Linked DNA regions of Alligator mississippiensis. The protein of the gene in region 1 interacts with the protein of each later gene in a pairwise test. Links are inferred from orthologs where the notes say so. Each region holds a gene or a part of one and is shown in the gene's direction. Other genes may lie near its edges. The genes, in order: EPM2A, PPP1R3C and PPP1R3D.

Evidence for each region.
Region 2: the proteins of EPM2A (region 1) and PPP1R3C interact in binary tests that used the Homo sapiens proteins (3 or more experiments, as listed by UniProt). The link is inferred for Alligator mississippiensis from reciprocal best matches to the Homo sapiens genes EPM2A and PPP1R3C.
Region 3: the proteins of EPM2A (region 1) and PPP1R3D interact in a two-hybrid assay, tested with the Homo sapiens proteins (2 studies listed by BioGRID, with this or other methods). The link is inferred for Alligator mississippiensis from reciprocal best matches to the Homo sapiens genes EPM2A and PPP1R3D.

What each region holds. Positions count from the first base shown.
Region 1 is NC_081824.1:125,595,922-125,599,670, reverse strand, and holds the start of EPM2A (laforin), read left to right. Parts: upstream 1-811; 5' UTR 812-1,047; coding exon 1,048-1,309; intron 1,310-1,374; exon of another isoform or gene 1,375-1,476; intron 1,477-3,297; exon of another isoform or gene 3,298-3,356; intron 3,357-3,749. UniProt on the Homo sapiens protein: Plays an important role in preventing glycogen hyperphosphorylation and the formation of insoluble aggregates, via its activity as glycogen phosphatase, and by promoting the ubiquitination of proteins involved in glycogen metabolism via its interaction with the E3 ubiquitin ligase NHLRC1/malin.
Region 2 is NC_081829.1:68,912,510-68,916,258, reverse strand, and holds the start of PPP1R3C (protein phosphatase 1 regulatory subunit 3C), read left to right. Parts: upstream 1-1,291; 5' UTR 1,292-1,424; exon of another isoform or gene 1,425-1,814; intron 1,815-2,937; 5' UTR 2,938-2,938; coding exon 2,939-3,749.
Region 3 is NC_081832.1:7,444,789-7,448,537, forward strand, and holds the start of PPP1R3D (protein phosphatase 1 regulatory subunit 3D), read left to right. Parts: upstream 1-1,480; 5' UTR 1,481-1,490; coding exon 1,491-2,327; 3' UTR 2,328-3,749. UniProt on the Homo sapiens protein: Seems to act as a glycogen-targeting subunit for PP1. PP1 is essential for cell division, and participates in the regulation of glycogen metabolism, muscle contractility and protein synthesis.

The sequences.
Region 1 (3,749 bases):
AGATGTGTTTGTGGCTGCATGGTTGGGCAATTAGGCACATGCCAACTGACTGTGGATGACAGATCTATTTATGGCTATTGAACAGAAAGGCTGGAGGGTTTCCGGTGGCATCTCTAGCCCAATAAGCGATGGATGCTAGAGAGGGGGTTGAAGAGGGGAAGGGTGTCAGACATCTGGCCCCTAGGTCTAATCAGACCTACGCAGGGCACGGACCCTACCCATGGACCCCATCCCCCCAGCACACCTGAGCCGGCACCGGCTTGAGCCCCATGCCCAGATCCCAGAGCAGCTGAAGCAGTGTCTGCAGGGGAACAGCTTTGCAGGTCTTAAATATGAAATTACCATATTGGAAGCTTGAAATTATCATATGCTAAAAAAGCATGCAAGTTAGGCTTATTTACTTTATAATGCTCCCTGTAGGTGACAGTGAGCGAGTGAGAACTGGGTCATAGAAGTTGAAGCATTTCTTTATTTGGAAGCGAGCAGTGGTAAGAAAATGCCACCAGCAGACCCCAAAGGGGGTTGAGTCCCCAAGTGACTTGGGTTTTGCACATGCTGCGTCAGTCAGCTGCCTCAGAAGTTATCCTACATGTATGTTGAGCACTTTTACTATTACTGATCGTACTTCGTGCCGGGGTTGAAAGTATCCTACAAATACAATCTGATCGTGCACGTGGCAACGGTGCCAAGGACGCGCGACCAGCCCAGCGGCCGCCCGCTTCCTGGACACCAGCAAGCGTCTATGCCCTACGCATGCTCACAGCATGCAGCCTCGAACGCTCGCCGCTGCGGGTGGGCGTAGACCGACACTGGAGCTGGGGTGGGAAGCCAAGCCCCGCGCATGCGCAAAGTATGCAGCCACCTGCTCAGCCAGTCAGTCACGTGCCGGTCGGGTAGTGGGGCTCGAACCCCCGTTCTTTGGGGACGTCCGCGCGCCGGCGTCATGACGTCACAACCCGGAAGACGCTAGAGCTTGCGATCCCTCCGGCAACCACGAGGGGACTGAGTTTGCCCCCCTCACTCCCGGTCCCAGCCCCAGGCGCGGCCATGCTGTTCCGCTTCGGGGTGGTGGTGCCGGCGCGGATGACGGAGGGCGGCGTGGCGCTGCTGGTGGCCGGCTCACGGCCGGAGCTTGGCCAGTGGGACCCGCAGCGCGCGCTGCCCATGAAGCCGGCGCGCCCCACGGCGCCGCGGCCCGCCCAGGAGCCCACGCTATGGCTGGCGGAGGCGGCGCTGCCAGACCACGAGGCCGCCGCCCCCTTCTGGTACAAGTTCCTGCGGCGGCAAGGCGATGACGTCACCTGGGAAGGTAAGGGCGGGGCGGCCGCGACGGCCTGCCCTCCCCGTTGTGACGCAATATGCTTACGTCACGGGAGGGGCGGGGCGGGGCGGCTCTCCTTGGCTGTTAAGTGGCCCCGCTTCTGGAGCCGAATGCCGGGGGGAGGGGCGGGGCTCCTCTCGCCCCGGAGCGTGAAGGTATCGTTTGCTGCGCCTTTCCCCCATATTTACCTGCGCCCGTGTACATTTACATATATTTGCATGTGTAGGAATATAAGCGTATGTAAATGAGGTGTCACGTGGCATGTTGCTGGTTGCCCGCCCCCCCACCGTTGCTGATCTCATCCTGTGGAGCTGGAGGCTGCCCTCGGCCCCCACCTAATACATTGACATATTTATGAATATGCACACATGCAAATGAGGTGCTACTTGGCAGGTGGCTGGTTGGCTCCGCCCCATTGATGATGTCGCTGTGGAACTCGGGGCTGCCCTGTGCCACAGCTGCAGATACTGACATACATGAATATGCATGTTTGCAAATGAGGTGTCATTTGGCATGTGGCTGGTTGGCTCCACCCCCATTGATGGTGTCCTGGCTGTGGAGCTCAGGGTTCCCCTGGGAGGAGGCTATGAGGAGGTCTCGCCTTGCTCAGTCTCCCTCCAGGGCCCCCCCCCCCCCACGAGGGCAGGTGGGCCACATGGTACCTCTCCACCTGCCTCAGCTGGTGGCATCCTGGTGGCCCCTTCCTTTGCGCACAGCAGGGCTCTGGCACCCACTGAGCATGTGGAAGCCAAGAGGGGCAGGGAGGACCTTCAGCGCAGCGAGCACTGCACCCATTGTCCACCCTGGGCTCGTGCCAAAGCCGTGCCCTGCACAGGTATGCAATCAGGTGTCAAGCCCATGCTCTGTGCACGCATGTGAGAGACATACAAGTACAGCTTCCCCACCAGCATGGTACGCTGCATCTCAAGCGAGCTGCATCATCAGGAGCATCAAGCCTGGCTCTGACATCGTTCTCTTGCTATTCATGGCTATCAAACAGAACGGCTAGAGGGTTTCCTGTGGCGTCTCTAGCCCAACAAGTCATCACTTGGATGTGTTGGCCTTTTTCCCTCCTTACCCACCTCATGTGCTAGTGCTAGGTGTGATCAATCTGTGGCTCGGGAGCCACAAATGGCAGGAATAATAGCAGGGGGTGGCATGTAGCAGATCAGGCAGCGGAGAGGCAGCATAGAGGTAGGGAACAGAAAGTGGAGTGGCTGATCAGGCAGGAAACATGGACAGGGAGCAGATAGCAGAGCAGCGGATCTGGCAGGGAGCACAGCACAGAAGAGGAAGCACAGCAGCAGATTTGGTAAAGGAAGGGAAGCAGAGTGGCACTCCCAAGAGGGTGTGGGGCTAATTTGTGGTATGCCTGCTAATAAAGTTGGCCCTCACTGCACAAAGCCATCAAGTGTTGCATAGTATTTGTCATGTTAATTGTGCTATTTCACTGAATATCACTGTAGTATCTTGTACAGAGGAGAGAATGAGTATCCTGACATTTGCTGAACCAACTAAAAATTGAATTGATTTTTTTCTTAGCAATAGGCATTATAGATGGTGGATGGAGCAAAGTTGGACTTAAGAATCCTTACTCTTTTAATAAGGAGCATCCATTCATTTTTTAGATTAAAAACATTTTTGCATTTTACCTTTTTTAAATAGTTCCTTAAAAGCTGAATCTGTACACAGAGGAACCGTGACAGCACAGCTGCACTTCGCACATTTGGAGGGATACATACAAAATCTCAGGAGTTACTTACACCTGCTTGGAGGAAAACAAGTTGCCATAATTGCATGTAAAAGAAAGCAAAATAAATACACTGAGGAAAGAGAATAGTTCGTTAACATTCAGTCTTCGAGAGTGACATTTGTTTGTGATGTAAATAAGATGTGCCACTGATTAAATTTCTTGCATTTAATGACTAAATTACACAGCATGCTCTACCTGTTTTGATAATATCTTTCTTTTGCAGAAGTCCTGGAAAAGTGAATTTATGAAATCAAAATCTCTCACTCATCCAAAGGATCAATAGTAGGTGCCAAGTTCAGTATAATAATTTGCTAGGTTCTTCTACACATATCATAAGTAGACTTTCAAAGTTTACACATTTTATAGAAATAGAGCTTCATGTTTTGAGCTGGCTTTGGTGTCAGTCTGAAGTTATTGCCCCAAGGCTTGTATGAGAAACAGAAAGCTGTGGAAGCGTAGGCAATTTTAACAGCAGATATACTGACAGTGGTTGACTTGCTCCTTGTAGGAGCAGTGCTCATGCAAGTGTTACGATTTTGAAGCTGAGTTATTTCAGTCAAAAATAAAACGGCTGGTTTATCTAGAGCGGTGGTTTTAAACCTTATTATTTGTACTTGAGGTACCCCTGAATGGATTACAGGCATCCTTTTGAAAATGCCACAACTCTTTCTTTTC
Region 2 (3,749 bases), on another chromosome or scaffold:
CAGAGATCTGTGCTCAGCACCTTCACTGATGCAGTTCCATGGGCAATCAGCTCCGAAAAATGTTTTCTCAAACATAAAACGATTCAAGTGCCCTGACTTAGAAAAAAAAGGGGTGAGGGGTGGGGAAGAGATGTTAAAAAAATAAAAGTTTCTTCAAGAACAGTGGTTTTGGAAACAACTTTGGTGGAGTTTTGCAGTTTGTAGGGGACTAGAAGGGATTAAGAAAAGCTACATTTTAATCCTAGAAGTGTGGTCCCACTTGGGTAATGGTTCAGTCCTTAATGCAGCCTCAAAGAGAAGATATCAAACTGGGAGCTGCTAAAACTGTGCAAGACAGGAGGTCTTTGTAAACCAAAATATCACAACATGCTGTCTCTTGTCAATGTGTTTAAATATATTGCAAATAATTCCTCCACCCGATCCTACAGTACTTGCTGGTATTTGCAGACTTTAAGGTTAAATATATATAAAAATACAAACATGGGAGCTACCTCATCATTTACATTTTCTATTAGGAAACGAATGGCAGCTATTTGCCTGGCTTGCTGTCTGGAGAGGGGCTGTTATTCACTTTGCAGCTGGTTAAAAATATTACATTTAGAAACCAAGTGAACTTGCTTGTTGGGCTATTTTTCGTATGTTCTTAGGTGTTGGGGGGGAGAGAATAAACAGCCCTTGCTTTCCTGACACCTCCTCCTTCCAGCAGCCCAGGGCTTCCCAGTCCAGTCCTACAAAATAAGCGGGGATAGATGTTCACCCCGCAACCAAGCTCCTGCGGGCAGGCCCCTCGTGGAGGGGGAAGCCCACCGACAGCAGTGGGGCGCTGACAGGGAGCAGCACTTTATCCCTTCCCATGTTTCGGATCAGGGCTTTCCTCAGTAGCCTACAAGGGACCCTCGCCTCTGGCACCGGGCAGTGGGGACCCCTCAGAACCGCGCCCTCCCCCGCGGGCTTATGCTGCTTCAGCCCATATCCATGACAGCTGCTCCCACCACTAAATACCCCTGGAGGCCCGACTCCACGTTTAGGAAATGCAGTTTGCTTGTAAAGGAAGTGCGGTGATGATCCCCACACCCCGGGAGGCGCCTCAAGGCAATGCGCCCCCTGAAATCTGCTGATGTGCGTCGGCAGAAAGCCCGCCATGCGGGCCCCCGGGGCTGGCCGGGAGCGCCCCCCAGTCCCGCAGGGGCGGCCGCGGCAGCTGGCGGGGCAGCGGGACGGAGCCAGCGGGGCGGGGTTGGCTGCGGGCGGCTCCGCGTGAAGGGGCAGCGCGGCTCTAGATAAGCGGCCGGGGCGGCGCTGCAGCAGAGCGGGGCCGGGCCGGGCAGGGCCGGGCAGGGCGAGCCGCAAGCGAGAGCCTGCACCCGAGCGACCGCGGAGCAGAAGCATCTCGCCGCACCGCGCTGGCTAATCACCTGCGCCAGGTAAGTCCAGGGGACCCGCTCCCGGGGCAGGCAGCGTCTGTGACCGCCAGCGCGGCGGGGCCGGCCCGACACCCGGCTTCTCTCGTCTCCCCGCTCTCGCCCAGGGCCCGAAAGCGCCCCGTCCCAGGCGGCCCTGACTTGGGGGCCCGCCCTGCCTTCTCCTTGCTCCTCGATCATTCTTAGCATAACGAGGGAGAGGCGGCTGCAAAAGCAGCAGAATTGTCGGGATTTGAATTGCTGGTTTGTGGGAAGAAAACTGGGCTGGGAACTTCCAAGAGGGCGGTGGGGTGTATGCCACCCCGGAGACTGAGAATATGCTGCGTTCAGCTAAGAGTGCTGCCTTGCTTGTCTTCCCCCACTGCTTGCCCTAACAGCCCAGAGCCATGAGACTTGGAGCCTAGTTAAAAAAAAAAAAAAAAAAAAAAAAAAAAATCCTCCCCCACCTATTTCTCGCACTGCTCTGCCGTACCAGTGAAAGTGCTGGAAGGAGAAACCTGTTTCTGAACATGACAAAGCAAATATTCTCACTTCTTATGACGCAACAGAATTTTAGATTTTAATGCAGAATACACGACAGCTGTCAAAAGGATTGCACTGGAAGCCCAGCTCACAAACCTATACGTCCAGGATGTATTTCCTGAATAGTCACTAGGGGATGAGATGGTTTATAATTAGACTGTAGCATAAAACCCCTATAGTCTTACAGTAGGTCAGTGGTAGATCTTACACATGAATTTAAAGATGATTGCAGAAGGAAAGCATTTTTAAGAGCTGCTATATTATCTCATTGCACTGAGGTGGGGGGGGAGGGGGGATAGGGAGAATCACATTCTTTTTGCATAACTTAAATTAGCCAAAAGAAGGTACAGTATGCCCCTAGTACTTAGAGCTAGGTGAAAAAGTGTTGTTAATCAAATGAGCTTGACCTCTTGTGCATTAGAATAATTCAAACGGGCTTGAAAATATTTTTATTTATGATGTGAACATAGCATCTAACCTGAGTCATATAGTGTTATTTCCAGATGAACCAATTTGCCAAAATCTATGGAAACTTGCTTAGTACCTTTTTGACTGGAGCTTTCTAAATCAGATGCACCCTTTCATTATGAATAGCAAGATCTGTACTAGTGTATGAAAATCCTCTTTCATGCGTGAATATCTGCTAGGGGGAAGGGGGGTGAAAGTATATTTTGATATGAATATCTGCTAGGGGAAGGGGGGTGAAAGTATATTTTGAATAATTGTGTAATTTAAAATCCTCTCTTGCAGAGAGGTTTGTTGGGAAAAATGAAAGAATCTGGCCAAATCCAAACAATCCAGAATTCTCAAGAATGGTTGATTGATTTATGCTAATTCCTTAGCTCCAACTGAACCACAGTTTGTTTTTTGTATTGCATTGAATAATTAGGACACTGTATGAAGTCAAGCATGCGGAGCTCCTTAGGAAGCTCTCTTCCAATGTATACCTGATGTAGCAAACAACCTAACATGCTGTCTCCCCACTCAATTTCAGAATGATACAGATCTTGGACCCAAGACATTTGCCCACCTCTATGATGCCTGTTGATGTGGCCATGAGAATATGCTTAGCCCATTCTCCACCTCTGAAGAGTTTTCTCAGTCCCCTTGATGACTGTCAAAGAAACAACTTTGTTAACAGATTTAAGCCTCTAAGGTCGTGTCTCAATTTGAAACGAGAATCTGAGTCTCAGAGTAACGACTGGAACCGTTCACCAAGCCGAGCCAAAAAACGAGTTGTGTTTGCGGACTCAAAAGGGCTTTCTTTGACCGCAATACACGTCTTCTCTGAATTCCAGGAGCATCCTGTATGGGATCTTCAATTTAACTTGTTAGATCTTGAGGACATAACAGCCAGTTTAAAACTACATGAAGAGAAAAACTTGATTCTGGGTTTCTCTCAGCCTTCAGCTGACTATTTAGACTTCCGGAATCGGTTGCAAAAGAATTTTGTCTGCCTCGAAAATTGTACACTGCAAGAAAGGGCAGTATCGGGGACAGTGAAAGTGAAAAATGTCAGCTTTGAGAAAATGGTTCAGGTTCGGATTACCTTTGATACATGGAAAAGTTACACCAATGTTGACTGTGTCTACATGAACAATGTGTACGGAGACTCCGATAGTGATACCTTCTCATTTGCCATTGACCTGCCTACAGCCATTCCCATTCAAGAGAAGACTGAATTTTGCATTTCTTACCAAAGTGGAGAGCACATCTTCTGGGACAATAATGAGGGTCAGAACTATAAAATTCTCCATGCAGAATGGAAACCTGATGGTGTCCAAGTACCAGCATCTACCAAAAAAG
Region 3 (3,749 bases), on another chromosome or scaffold:
TGCAGGAGCTTGCTCTGCCTCCCCAGCCTTGGGAGACACGCAATGTTCATCAATACCTACTAATTATGCTAATTGATTGATTCCATCATGACATTGCCTAGCAACACTCATGTGGGGCCAGGATGCCACGAAGTGAAGGCAATCAGGACTTGTGGAAGGCGTAAGGTGGCCATCGAGGTACTTCAAGAATAGAGAACAGTTGCTTTTAGTGCAACTGTCTTGAGGTACCTTGAGGACGACCCCACCACAAGTCCCGATTGCCTTCACCCCATGGCACCCTGGCCTCACCTGGGTGCTGCTAGGCAATGTCATGATGCATTCCATTAATGAGCATAATTAGTTGCTATTGATGCAATTATTAATAAATGTGATCCATTAGTAATGATAGACTTTGGGTCAATGATTCCCACGGATCCTGACTTTCTCTTAGCGAAAAAAAAACAATCCCCAGTTTTTGGTTTAAAAAAAAGGAACCCAAAATCCACATTTTCCAGTGACTAAAATGAAACACCATTATATAGTCAGGTATCCAGGTTGTAGCCATATTGGTCTAAAGGAAAAGGCAATCAGGACTCGTAGTAGAGACAATCCCTTTTATTAGACACACAAGATTTTTGCAAAAAAACCCAAAACAATTCTTTAATCTCAAGCTTTGTTTGTGCCCGAAAGCTTTAAATGAAAGAAAAAATTGTTGCATACCACTATATATCTATAGATATATATGATAGATATATATCTATAGGTATCTATAGATCTATCTATCTAGATCTATCTATCTAGATCTATAGATACATATATCTATCTATAGATATATCTATCTATATAGATACATAGATATATCTATCTGTATAGAGATAAATATATGATAGATATATATCTATAGATACATATCTATAGAGCTATCTATAGATATAGATATATAGATACATAGATATATCTATCTATATATAAATATATGATAGATATATATGTATAGATATATATCTATAGAGCTATCTATAGATATAGATATAGCTATCTATCTATCTATCTATCTAGATAGATAGATAGATAGATAGATAGATAGATAGATAGATAAGAGTGATTTCATTTTAATCACGGAAACGTAGATTTGGGGTTCTTTTTTTTTTTTTTTTTAACCAAAAATTGTGGATTTTTTTTTTTTAATCTGATTTTTAAAAAATCCTCTGGTTTTCTCTGAGAAAACCAGGATCCCCGATGATTACTAATGAACACTCCTGCCCTCCTCCCCCTGTCTCCTCCCTCCTCCTTTCCCTTCCCCTCCCCCCTACCCATCCCGCAGACTGCAGGTGCCTAGTGAGGGCAACCCGAGGGCAGCGGCTTCGCGACACCCAGTGCGCACGCTCCTTACTCGGAGCATGCGCAGAAAGGCCCGCGGCTCTGATTCGTCGGTGGCGCGGGCGGCGTGACGTCACGGGCGCCGCGTTGCCAAGCGCCGCGGGCCGGGCCGGGCCGGGCCGGGCCGGGCGATGGCGGCGCTGCGGGCGGGCCCGTGGGTGCCGGAGTCGGCGCTGCGGGCCCCGCGGCGCAGCCCCAGCTACCTGTCGGGGCTGCGGGCCGGCGAGGCGCGGCCGCCGAGCAGCTGCGACCCGGACCTGCGGCCCATCATACGCCGGCGAGCGCGCTCCTTGCCCACGTCCCCCGAGCGGCGGAAGCGAGCCGCGGCGCAGTGCCCCGTGCCGGGCTGCCGCAGCCCCATGAACCGCGTGCGGTTCGCCGACGCCTTGGGCCTGGAGCTGACCCAAGTGAAGGTCTTCCAGAGCAGCGAGGACCCCTCCGTGCCCCTGCACGTGCTGTCCCGCCTCTCCATCAACTCGGCGCTGTGCTGCAGCAGCTTGGACCTGGAGTTCGCCATGCAGTGCCTGGTGCCCGACTTCCCGCCGCCGGCCGACGCCGCCGATTTCACCGCCCGGCTCCGGCGCCAGCGCGTGTGCCTGGAGCGCGTGAGCAGCTCGGACCTGGGGCTGGGCGGCACCGTGCGCGTCCTCAACGTGGCGTTCGAGAAGCAGGTGTCGGTGCGCTACACCTTCGACCGGTGGCAGAGCCTGCACGAGGTGTGCGCCCTCTGGCACAGCGGCGTCGCCGAAGGGGACGGGCTGGGCCCCGCCGACGTCTTCACGTTCTTCCTCCCGGTGCCTCCTTTCCTGCTGCGGCCCTGCTCCGTGGTCCAGCTGGCGGTGCGGTACCGAGTCGACGGGCACGAGTACTGGGATAACAACGAGGGCCAGAACTACAGCTTCACCTGCAGGAGCCACCCGCTCAAGATGCCTCGGGAGTGCGAAGAGAGCTGGATCCACTTCATCTAAGCGCCGCGGCGCCGCCCTCTCCGACGGCAGACGAGGGTCTTTGGGGCAATCCGATATCCTAAACCAACGCGGCTGCGACCTCTCCCGTGGCACCGCAGGAAGCCTGCTGAAGCCCGTCGCGCCGTTCAGAGATGTTTCAAAATAAGAAAATAAGAGCTCTTTGCAAAGCACTTCTTGGGCGTTAAAAAGCTGCCTGCTGTCTCACGCGATTCAAGAGATCTCTCAGCATGGCAGGGCAGCGTTGGCTCAACGGGGCGCTGCTGCCAGATTTAAAGCTAGAACGTCTAAAAGCAAAACAGAGCTCTTGGGAAATACTATAGATTGCGCAGGCAGAACTTTTTTAACTAATGTTTCATAATTTTAACGGCCTTTCTGTTTTGCACTTCATTGGGAAATGGACTGTTTTGCTTTGTAGTTTTGTTAGGATGCCACTTCTTACACACTGGTTCTTGGGCATTGTGCCACTGATGCAAAGTCTAGGATGCAGGTGCTGCGAGGGAATGTTTATATTTAGGTCCATTTTTATTAATATTTAAAACGCATTTAATATTTTTATTGTTGGTTTTCATTATTTTTAGCAACCACTGGCTATTAGATGGATACTATCTGACAGTGGCCCTAAAAAAATAAGTTGTAAACCTGGTGCCTTTTCTTATCTGCAGTGCATGTTATAGATGCAGTCAAAGGGATTGTTAACCACAGCGTAGTGTTTGTTAAATTGTGAGGCTGCCCTTTGTGGGGAAGTTCTCTTCTTTTTTTTTTTTTTTTCCATGTGAAATACATGTGGGTCTCTGGAAAAAGGAAAAAAAAAAAAAAGATGTTTCCCTTTTTGAATAACTGCTCTTACTAAGTAACTCCATAGCAGTGTTGCACTTCTTCCTGAAGATAGCACTTCTGCTGTCCGTTCTACCTGAAGATAACCTGGTGATAAAAGAGAAATGCTAATGAATTAAGCCTCTCAACTCCTGTGGGAGGCTAGTAATTATGCCTATTTATAAGTGGGGAAACAGATTTGAGATGCTAAATGCCAAGGCCATACAGTGACCAGGCTGTAGAATCGAATCCACGAGTTCTGGTGCTTATGTCTCTGTTGCAGTCTCCTCACTCTGTGGCAGTAGTGTCTTGAACCCTATAATTACCTGCTTTTACTCAGTTAAACAAAAATGCCCTGGCTCCTCCTGCTCCAGCACAATGTGGTGGCTTCTAGGAGGGATGAAGGCATGGCCGGTGCCACTGTGGATCCACTGGTAAGAGTCTCTCTTATGCGGTAGTGGGGGGATGGCCTCCCCCATACACAACCTATTGCACTGCCTCTAGTGGGGTGAGGATTGAGTCCTATACAGTTTTGGCAACACACAGGCTTAAATTCAGATAAGGGAAGTCAATGCCTCCTACAGTGAAAATGCCTGAAAAGCTGTATTT